Linked DNA regions of Neodiprion lecontei. The protein of the gene in region 1 interacts with the protein of each later gene in a pairwise test. Links are inferred from orthologs where the notes say so. Each region holds a gene or a part of one and is shown in the gene's direction. Other genes may lie near its edges. The genes, in order: protein LTV1 homolog and 40S ribosomal protein S3-A.

What was found.
Region 2: the proteins of protein LTV1 homolog (region 1) and 40S ribosomal protein S3-A interact in a two-hybrid assay, tested with the Caenorhabditis elegans proteins (2 studies listed by BioGRID). The link is inferred for Neodiprion lecontei from reciprocal best matches to the Caenorhabditis elegans genes T23D8.3 and rps-3.

The regions. Positions count from the first base shown.
Region 1 is NC_060262.1:40,655,289-40,660,772, reverse strand, and holds protein LTV1 homolog, read left to right. Parts: upstream 1-2,270; 5' UTR 2,271-2,443; coding exon 2,444-2,446; intron 2,447-2,869; coding exon 2,870-3,434; intron 3,435-3,549; coding exon 3,550-3,770; intron 3,771-3,846; coding exon 3,847-3,975; intron 3,976-4,062; coding exon 4,063-4,254; intron 4,255-4,442; coding exon 4,443-4,691; intron 4,692-4,805; coding exon 4,806-4,919; 3' UTR 4,920-4,984; downstream 4,985-5,484. Other genes in the region: zinc finger protein 420-like, read left to right, coding at 1-1,380.
Region 2 is NC_060263.1:16,543,132-16,547,300, forward strand, and holds 40S ribosomal protein S3-A, read left to right. Parts: upstream 1-1,919; 5' UTR 1,920-1,987; coding exon 1,988-2,020; intron 2,021-2,479; coding exon 2,480-2,799; intron 2,800-2,886; coding exon 2,887-3,074; intron 3,075-3,229; coding exon 3,230-3,417; 3' UTR 3,418-3,456; downstream 3,457-4,169. Other genes in the region: cathepsin O-like, read right to left, coding at 41-189, 277-687, 1,062-1,247; GDP-fucose protein O-fucosyltransferase 2, read right to left, coding at 3,706-3,853, 3,914-4,043, 4,117-4,169.

The DNA.
Region 1 (5,484 bases):
CTGCAAATGTCAAATGATAATCAAGACTATAACCCAGACTCGCTGAACTCGGATTCGCAGAGCGAAAGCGAGACGGATTCTTTTAATAATCTAGCTTTTTATAGATGTAAACACTGCACCAAGTGTTATTCTACAAAAAAATCTCTACAGAGACACATGTTGATACACGACGAGAAGAAATTTGTTTGCAATGTTTGCAACATGAAATTCTTTAGGCCAGACAGATTGAAAAGCCACAGAAACAGGTATGGGCATGATGAAGACAAAGAATGCTTGGAGCCTCAAAAACCGCCGGATGACAAATCTGCAATAAAATTAATAAACAGTTGGATAAGAGAGGAACTGGATTCCGACAACGAAGGAAAGGGGTTCCCGTGTGAAATTTGTGGTAAATCTTACGTGACCAAGAAATCATTGCAGAAGCACAAGGCAAACATGCATGAGAACAGAGAAGACTTTTGTGACAATTGCAAAGCGGATAAATGTAAGTGCGCTGAAAGGGTGAAAAATATTGACAAGAAGAATGAAAAGTTGAAACCATTCAGCTGCGATGAGTGTAACAAGTCCTTTGAAAAGGAATCAAAGCTAGAAAAACACTTGAGAAGTCATGAGCGTGCCAAGGAACAGCAGGACTCAAATTTCAAACGATTTTTGTGTCACATTTGCAGCAAAACTTTTCGTCAAAATACAGGACTCATGTTCCACATGCGGACGCACACTGGCTATAAGCCGCATGTGTGCAAATATTGCGGACGTGGTTTTACATCCAATTCAAATTGCATTAATCATGAAAGAACTCACACTGGAGACCGACCTTTTGTGTGCCATTTTTGCAGTGCAGCCTTTGCAAAATCTTGCACTCTGAAAGCGCACATTACAACTCACACGGGAGAAGCTAATTACCACTGTAAAACTTGTGGAAAATCGTTTCGACGACTTAAGTACTTGAAGGAACATAGATTTACGCATACTGGGGAGAAACCGTACGCCTGTAAAATCTGTGGCACTGCTTATAGTCACTCCGGTAGCTTGTTTGTCCATGAAAAAAAATGCAAGGCTCAATACAGCAACTATCAAGCCGTTTCTGAGCAAAATGCGCAAAATTATACCCAGTCGCCAACTGGGCTCAACACCTCGTCGGTCATGGCTCCTATTATTCCTATGCTCTCTTCATCGCACCATTTAAATAACGCTAATAATTCTCTGGGGGGTCATGCTAACAAAAATTATGTCGAAAGTATGCAGAGAATGAATGCACACGCAGCTGCTGTCACAGCAGTTGGAAATCCAGCTTTGCATATGCATCCGAACCCGGAAGTTTCAGAGATGGCTTCAGCTGTGAGAAACTTCGCCATTATAGGACAAATATTTCACTCGTAATGAACTGATATATTCCATAAAATCCCTAAAAATTCTCTGTGATAAGAAATTGTCTCTACTAGGATATTATTGTATAAATTTTTATATACTGATGAATCTTGCAACACATGTAATGATAACGAATATTTACTTATAATGACGGAAAGAAAAATCAAATTAAATGCCAAGAGGTCAGTGATGCAACGGCATCTAAAAAATAAATTTTTATTCTCTTTATCGTTTGTACCTTTACATATAGTAACTGAAATAGTAGCATGTAATGTAATGTATCTACCGATTATACAACAGATATACATATATAGTATGTAAAAAGTTATATTTTAACATTTATAAGAAGCATAATAATAATAATGTCGTTTAATATTTATCTCAACAAATATTTTAAAAATTATTTATATTTTATTCTGTTTTTCCTGTTATTTTTTGTTCAATAATTGCATGCATAATGGAAGTGCATGCATATTTGAATATTCAAATTATACATTGGGTAAACCGTTCAACAAACTTTATCGCAAAAAGCACTTTGTATACGAAGCTCACGAAAATACAGCATAGATAAATATTAGATATGGTTTCAAAAGAACACAATTCACACCCAACTTGTTATGTGCAGGTATGTATGTATGCACGTATGTATGTGTGTACATTGTTTTAAAATCTTCATTCCACTAATAACTGTAAAATCTCGATTAAGAGTTTTATCTGGTATAAAATACAAGAAAAAATAGTTCATTTTGACATTGGAATCTCGATTCAAATGATTCGAAAAGTTAATTTTTAAATAACATTCCAAAACGTTGAAGTAACGTACCATTAAATCGCAAGCGTAAATTCAATGGCCAATCAGAAGGTCCTGATTCCCTGTCGCGTCAAAATGGTCATTCGTTGCAAGACAGTGTCACGGCATTTCAGTGGTCATTGCTACGGAGTTAACACATGTTCACTGTTTGGAGTTAGCATTTGGTTAAAGTTCAACAAGATTGGGGAAGACTTTTGTGATTTTTATAATAGCTGAGTGAATTAAATAAACCCTTGTAAGACTGTCAGTGTTGTCCGCCTAATCATGGTACGTATTTCCTTAATCCTACGCGATTGAAAAAGACGCATTTTTAGGTTAAGTTTAAGGCGTCTTGTAGGACTTTCTTAAAATCTGTAAGCTCAACGTATTTCTTTAATCCTACACGGTTGAAAAAGATGCATTTTTAGGTTGAGTTAAAGGTGACTGGTAGGATTTTCGTAAAATCTATAAGTTCAACGCATCTCCTTAATCCTACACGGTTGAAAAAGATGCATTTTTAGGTTAAGTTAAAAGCGTCTGCTAGGACTTTCGTAAAATCTGTAAACTCAACGTAAATTCTTGCAAACTGAATTTTTTTTATTTGTGAAAGTGATCGAAGTCTGCTTTGAATTTTGTCTCTGTTTAATATCGAATTACCTATGTAATGAAAGAATAATACTCAAAAAACAAGACTTTGTACATTGTTTACAGCCTAAGGGAAAAGGGAGGAAATTTATTGACAAAAAGAACGCGGTGACATTTCACCTGGTTCATCGTTCTCAACAAGATCCGTTAGCTGCTGACGAGACCGCTCCTCAGCGAGTATTAGTACCTCTCGGAAAGACGCAGGCTACCAAGTCTGAGAAGAAGGAAACAGATATCGCGAAGCGTAAAGAGGAACAGCAAAAGTACGGAATATTTTTTGATGATGATTATGACTACTTGCAACATATGCGAGATTCAAACCAAATCTCTGTTGAATGGGAACCGGTTGAAGACCCTCAGAAAAGCAGGAGAGAGAAAAATGCAGACCGCACTGAGCCCAAAATTAACCTACCATCTTCCGTGTTTGCATCTGATGTTGAAGAAGATGTTGGTCTTCTTAATAAAGCAGCACCGGTCTCCGGATTGAGATTAGATGTGGATCCTGAAATTGTGGCTGCAATGGATGAAGATTTTGATTTTGAAGATCCTGATAATCAGTTGGAAGATAATTTCTTTGAATTAGCTAATGCGGAAGGCAGCGACATTGAGTTTGACGAACACGATGAAGATGGTGAGCAGCATGAAATTGTTGACATAGTTCTACGTGAAATGATTTTTCATATATTCACACAGTCATAAAATTTTATTTGCATCTCATGGTCTCATACACAACGAATTATCTTTAGGCTATGAATCCGATGAAAGCGACGAACAGTATTCAGATGTTTCTTCTGAAGGACATATGCAGCTATCAGATGAGGAGAAAGATCAGGTTCCGAGTTTAAATGGACGGGAATTCGCGTTTGAAGATGTTGAAACAAAATCACAGTTTACCGACTACTCAATGAGCAGCAGCGTCATGCGACGGAATGATCAATTAACGTTACTTGATAATAGATTTGAAAAGGTGAGTTGGTTAAGAATCTTATTGGCACAACAGCAGAGTACATAAATATTCCAGTTTAACATTTTTCCATTTACAGATGTACACTGGATACGATGATCTTGAAATTGGAGCACTTGATTGCGAGGAAATCGAAGGACATGTTGCTCCTGATTCTGATATTCTTTTGCAGTATGCAGATGAATTTGAAAAGAAGAAAAAAGAAAATGTGAGGGTTCAAGAAAATATTCCTTGATTATTTTTCTTTTTTTTTTCTTTAATTTGCTTGACTTTTGATTACTGAATTCTTCCACAGACTGAGAATGTTGCAAAGTTGATGGCAGAGCGACTGAGAGTCATTAACTTGGAAGAATCAAATTCTGAGGATGAAAATGATTTGGAAAAGCTTGTAGTTGATGCTAGAGAAAAGGAGAAATGGGACTGTGAAAGTATTCTATCTACCTACAGCAACATTTATAATCACCCCAAACTTATATCAGAGCCTAAGGTGAATTTAGACACAAGATTTTTATCAATTTCTGTTTGATATCCATATGAAAATTCAAATTGTTAGATTGGTCCCGTGTTCAAAGTGTGTTATTCGTTTTTATTGTTTCGGAGATTTAATTCACTAGTACAAGGGTAGAAGGCTGGGGTTTGGATAATTATGTAAAATACTCAGTCGATGTATTTCAGGGTCCTGGGAAAATAAAAATTAATCCACGTACTGGGATTCCACAAGATGTCCTGAATTCGTCTAATGGAACGTTGACAGCGAAAACGTTGGCTAAATTTAACTTGGAGAATGACAGCCAAGCAAACGCAGGTCCACGATCGGTAGCAGAAACCATGAAATCCACTTTGAGTGTCCTGAGTATAAGGCCAAAAGACGAATCCCCCGAGGACAGGAAAGAACGAAAAAAAGCTCTCAAAGAGTACCGAAAGGTATATCGCATAGTGATTAGAACTGTATGAAGTTCGCGTATAAAATATCATGGCACTGGAATTCACTGAATCGATTCAACTTTATATTTACACAAATCTTATTTGTTTCATCAGGAAAGAAGATTGGAGCGCAAGGCTAACATAGAAGCGTTCAAAGAAGAAAAGAAGAGACAAGAAAAAATTATGCTCAACAACAGAAACAACGTCCAAGGCAATAGAGTACTGTGAATTTATAAAGTCATATTGTGAAAATTTGAATAATATTTAATATAATGATACATTTATTTCTACATAGGAATTATCGACTATTGTCTTCTTTCCCCACCATTGTAGAGTTAGATCAGTTAAACATTGTCAATTCATTGTGTTTGTGTATATTAGGTTGGTTCTTATTTACGGTATTAACGGAGTTTCACATTTTCCAAGTTTTCCAATACGGGGTTGAAGTTATAGTAACGTTATCGTAACGAAACATTGGGTGAAAAATTACTATTTTCCTAATTTTACAATAACTTTGAAGCTGCTAAGATTTCGAAATCTGAGTGTGTTTTGTTTTATTACGGTTTCCTAAATTTCAGGCAAATCCAAAATTGCGAAATAACGGTTTATTCTCAGCATGAATAATTACGATTAGTACGATAACGCAACCAACTTCAATGCGAATTTCCAATTCAAAGTTTCGAACGATAATATGCTCAAGAAGGCAGTGGCCACGTGATGTCCACGAGGTCGACGGTGGCGCCCCCGTAATCGAGTGCACGGCGAAGAGGCGCAACATGCGCAACTTCCTAGT
Region 2 (4,169 bases), on another chromosome or scaffold:
CATTTATTTCAATTAATACATCGCCATGGTCATTTTATACTTTTTCAATTGGCAGCTGTCCGTTCTCCACGTCATCGGGTACGCGGTTTCCGCCTTGATTTTAACCTGCGTTACCGTCAACCACATCAACAGACTGCAAATATCACCGCCGTTACAACCGAAGTTACTGTTTCCAGCGCAATCAATCATCTGATAATAAAAACCACGCATCAATGTAATCAGTTTCTCGTGTACATTGTGTTGCTATATTTCAGTCCAACTTGTTGCATTTTATACCTCTTGAACACTAAGCGTGTGCAACGTGCCATTATTAATCGCAAACATCGTTTCGGCGACTTCGACAGTGCTGAATGCCCAGCAAGCACCGCAGTTCATTTGGTTTCGAACTGGAGTTACGAATCCCGTTTCTCTCCAGTCGAATTTTACCGGTAACCCGGTAGTAGATCTCCGCAATCTGTTCTTCTCACTGCTGTCGGCTCGACCATCTTTAGTATCATACCGATTGTGTCGGTGCGAGTGATGATGCGAGTGATGGAGATGCCGCATTCCACGCGAGGACAAATCAGGGCGTAAATAAGAGCTCGCAAACTCGTCCTCAGACAAGTCGGAAAATTCTGTAACCCCGTATCTCGCACTTTCTTTCGATGTTCGCTTGGCGTTCATCTCCTCGATATGTCGAAGGGATCTCTAATTTTATTCAAACAGAACAATTGCAATCGCTAATGTAACAATGTCCGTTAATTATAATTTTTCGTGATATCATTCAGACTATGACGCATAGAAGCCTCAGCCTTGTGACCGTAGCAGCATAAATACGATGCGTATGAACTTTATCGCAAAGGTTATACGTTATATATAAATATTTGTGAACAAAAATGTCAAGTACCGATAATGTCACTAACTTAGATAAAGCGGCCGTGGAAAGCCCCACAAATCTGTATGCATGTGTTACAGCGTGTGTGATAATTGGCTTCAGAATATGGCGCGAAATCTAACAAGGCGCTGATTTGAATCAAATCAATCCGGAGGTAATCGGATTGTAGACAGTTAACGCCACCTACCTGAAACTTGCGAAACCTTTCCTCGTACTCTGCAGGTGATCGTGTATAAGATTTCTTAAATTTTTCAACATAAGTCTTGAACAATTTTAGGTCGCTTTCGGTGTTGTCGGGCTCGATCTTGATCGGTATTGCCAAGAAGCACAGGCTCACTACCGCGATTGTGGTTATCACCGTTTTCCACTCCATGACAATTGGCAGGACAAATTTTACATAACAAATTTACACAGCCGTAGTATATCAACAAAGTACACTACCCTGATTCTAACCTATATGAACAATTCAGAGTATACGTGCAAGCGGCAATTAAATATACCTCGCGAGAAAATGTATTTTTATCTAATTACTGAGGTGCCTCCTGCTTATAATGACTATTCTTTTACTGAATTAATCCCCACCGCAACTGTGGCCTGACCTAGCTTCTCTGTTATTCTTATGCGGAATGCCTTATCGTTGCGCTACAACGATGCACACGCACCCCGCACACTCGGCATACATTGTATGATTTGTAAACGCATAGGTATGTAGTCACATACGAAGCTTTCACAGCTCATCCATTTCAGTCCCTTCGCTCCTGCTGACTGACAAAAGTGCAATTACACGTGCAAATCTGTCTGACTGTCGTCAGGCGTAGAAATGAATTCACGCCTGATAGTGGCAATCGTGTACGCAAATGATCAGAAAAACAACTGTATGATTTAATGAGAATATTTTTTAACCAAACTTGTACGTCAATAACTTGAATAATTTGTATTATCTTTACATGCTTATGATTTTTCTACTGCCACGAATCATCTCATCACATTTCAGTATGAATAGGTTAAAAAAAGACGCTGATTTGAATGCGAGTTATGCGGTCGAGTCCCATTTCCGTTTCCAGTCGGAAGACCCTTCAGTTTTCCGTCTCCTTTCTTGTAACAGCGCTGATTATGGCAGCCCGTTCGATTTCGAAGAAGAGGAAGGTTAGTTAGTTTTAACAGCTTTTACCGCGTTTATCAAACAAATATCGCAATCACGGTAAAACGCAAACATTTCCTCACGATATTTTCCTGCTAAACCTGTGAATCGCCAAAGTTTGAATATCGGATCGCTCGGATACTTTTAGCTGTCGCTTGTTCCTCCCCAAAGCGGTTATCCCGCTCCTGTCACTTGTGCATCAAAAGTAACAAAACAGTTGTGATGCATTTCTGTGACACTCATTCTTTTGACAACGGCGTATCGCACTCCGATTTTTACTGGTTAATTATTCCATAGCCACGCAGATTTTTGTAGGTTAGGTTAAGGTTAGGTTTGAATCGTAAACACAGCCTGGCCCTTCAAAATACCCCAGTTGTCGATTTTTCGATTCGTTATTTCCACATGAAAATGAGGTGAATTCTTCTCTGCCTTATGTTCAGAACTAATTTTACTTTTCATTGCAGTTTGTTGGAGACGGAGTCTTCAAAGCTGAGCTCAACGAGTTTCTGACTCGTGAACTTGCAGAGGATGGTTACTCGGGTGTTGAAGTGCGTGTCACCCCAACGCGCACTGAAATCATCATCATGGCTACACGTACCCAGAATGTCCTAGGAGAGAAAGGACGCCGGATAAGAGAGCTGACTTCGGTAGTTCAGAAGAGGTTCAATTTCAAGGAACACAGCGTGGAACTATACGCTGAGAAGGTAGCAACTCGTGGTCTTTGCGCCATTGCCCAGGCCGAATCTCTACGTTACAAACTTATCGGAGGACTGGCTGTCAGACGGTAAAGATTTTAAATAATATTAATCCTAGTATTTATACGTAGTGTATTGGAGATTCAATACTTTCAAGTATTTATTTTTCAATAAAGTGCGTGTTATGGAGTACTTCGTTTCATCATGGAGTCTGGTGCTAAAGGATGTGAAGTTGTCGTGAGCGGAAAACTTCGTGGACAGCGTGCAAAGTCCATGAAATTCGTCGACGGACTTATGATCCACTCCGGAGAGCCAACAAATGACTACGTTGACACAGCAACCCGACACGTACTCCTCAGACAAGGTAAACGTGCAATTTTGCCATTCCTGTTTGAGGAATATCAGAAGTAATAGTTTACAATAATGACGTGATTATCGAATGTTTTAAAATATTATATTTGACTACTTTTCTGCGTATGAACATATTGCGTGATAATTGTAAGTGTTATTATGTTACAGGTGTTTTGGGAATTAAAGTGAAAATTATGCTTCCTTGGGACCCCAACGGTAAGACTGGACCCAAGAAACCTCTGCCGGACAACGTGTCAGTCGTAGAGCCAAAGGAAGAAACTCTTCCCACTTATCCATCCTCCGATGTTAAGGTGGCCAAACCGGATGCTCCCCCTGTTGCACCGATTCCTGTATAATTCCGCAGATCTTAAAATTAAAACTTTTTGAAAGATCAATTGCTCTCACAGTTAATCGCAATTATCCTTCCCTGGAAATATCTTTGCTAACTGTAAAAGTGGACTGGAGAGTAAACGACGCATAAATTATTACTCTTGAATTTTATCAACTGGTAGAAAAAGGTACAAACTATCAGAATGGGTAGGAGAATTTTTATTTCCGAATATTTTTTTTACTGCATCTTTTCTTGGATACATTGTTGCGCATTGTGTTTAATTCGAATTTTTGATTTTCGCCATCTTGACTCATCACCATAAGATTTTCCATGAACTTCTAGATTTGCATTTCTCAATTCCGCACAATTCATTGAATGTCATCTTTGATGGGAAACCCATTATTTCCCTATCTTCTTGGATTCGGAACGTGAACGTCGATTCGTGCGTTCCTATGAAGTACCTAGACATAATTAATAACATTGATTAGTTCTGTGGTCAGTAAAAAATAATAGAAACTTACCTCGCTTTTGAACAAATTATTTGATCTATAATAGCAACACCCCCATCTTTATACAATTTTTTAACACTATCTGATGGTGTGTATCTTGTTACTGCATACATGTTTAGCAGTGATTTAAGCTCATTGTATTCTAGAGAAAGAAAAACAACGTGTAACGTATGATATTCTCACAAATGGTTGAAGCGATTTTGAGATATTCGTACCGTTATTCTCTGCATCTGTTGCTATAAAAATCGACTGCAAATTTAGTTCTTCC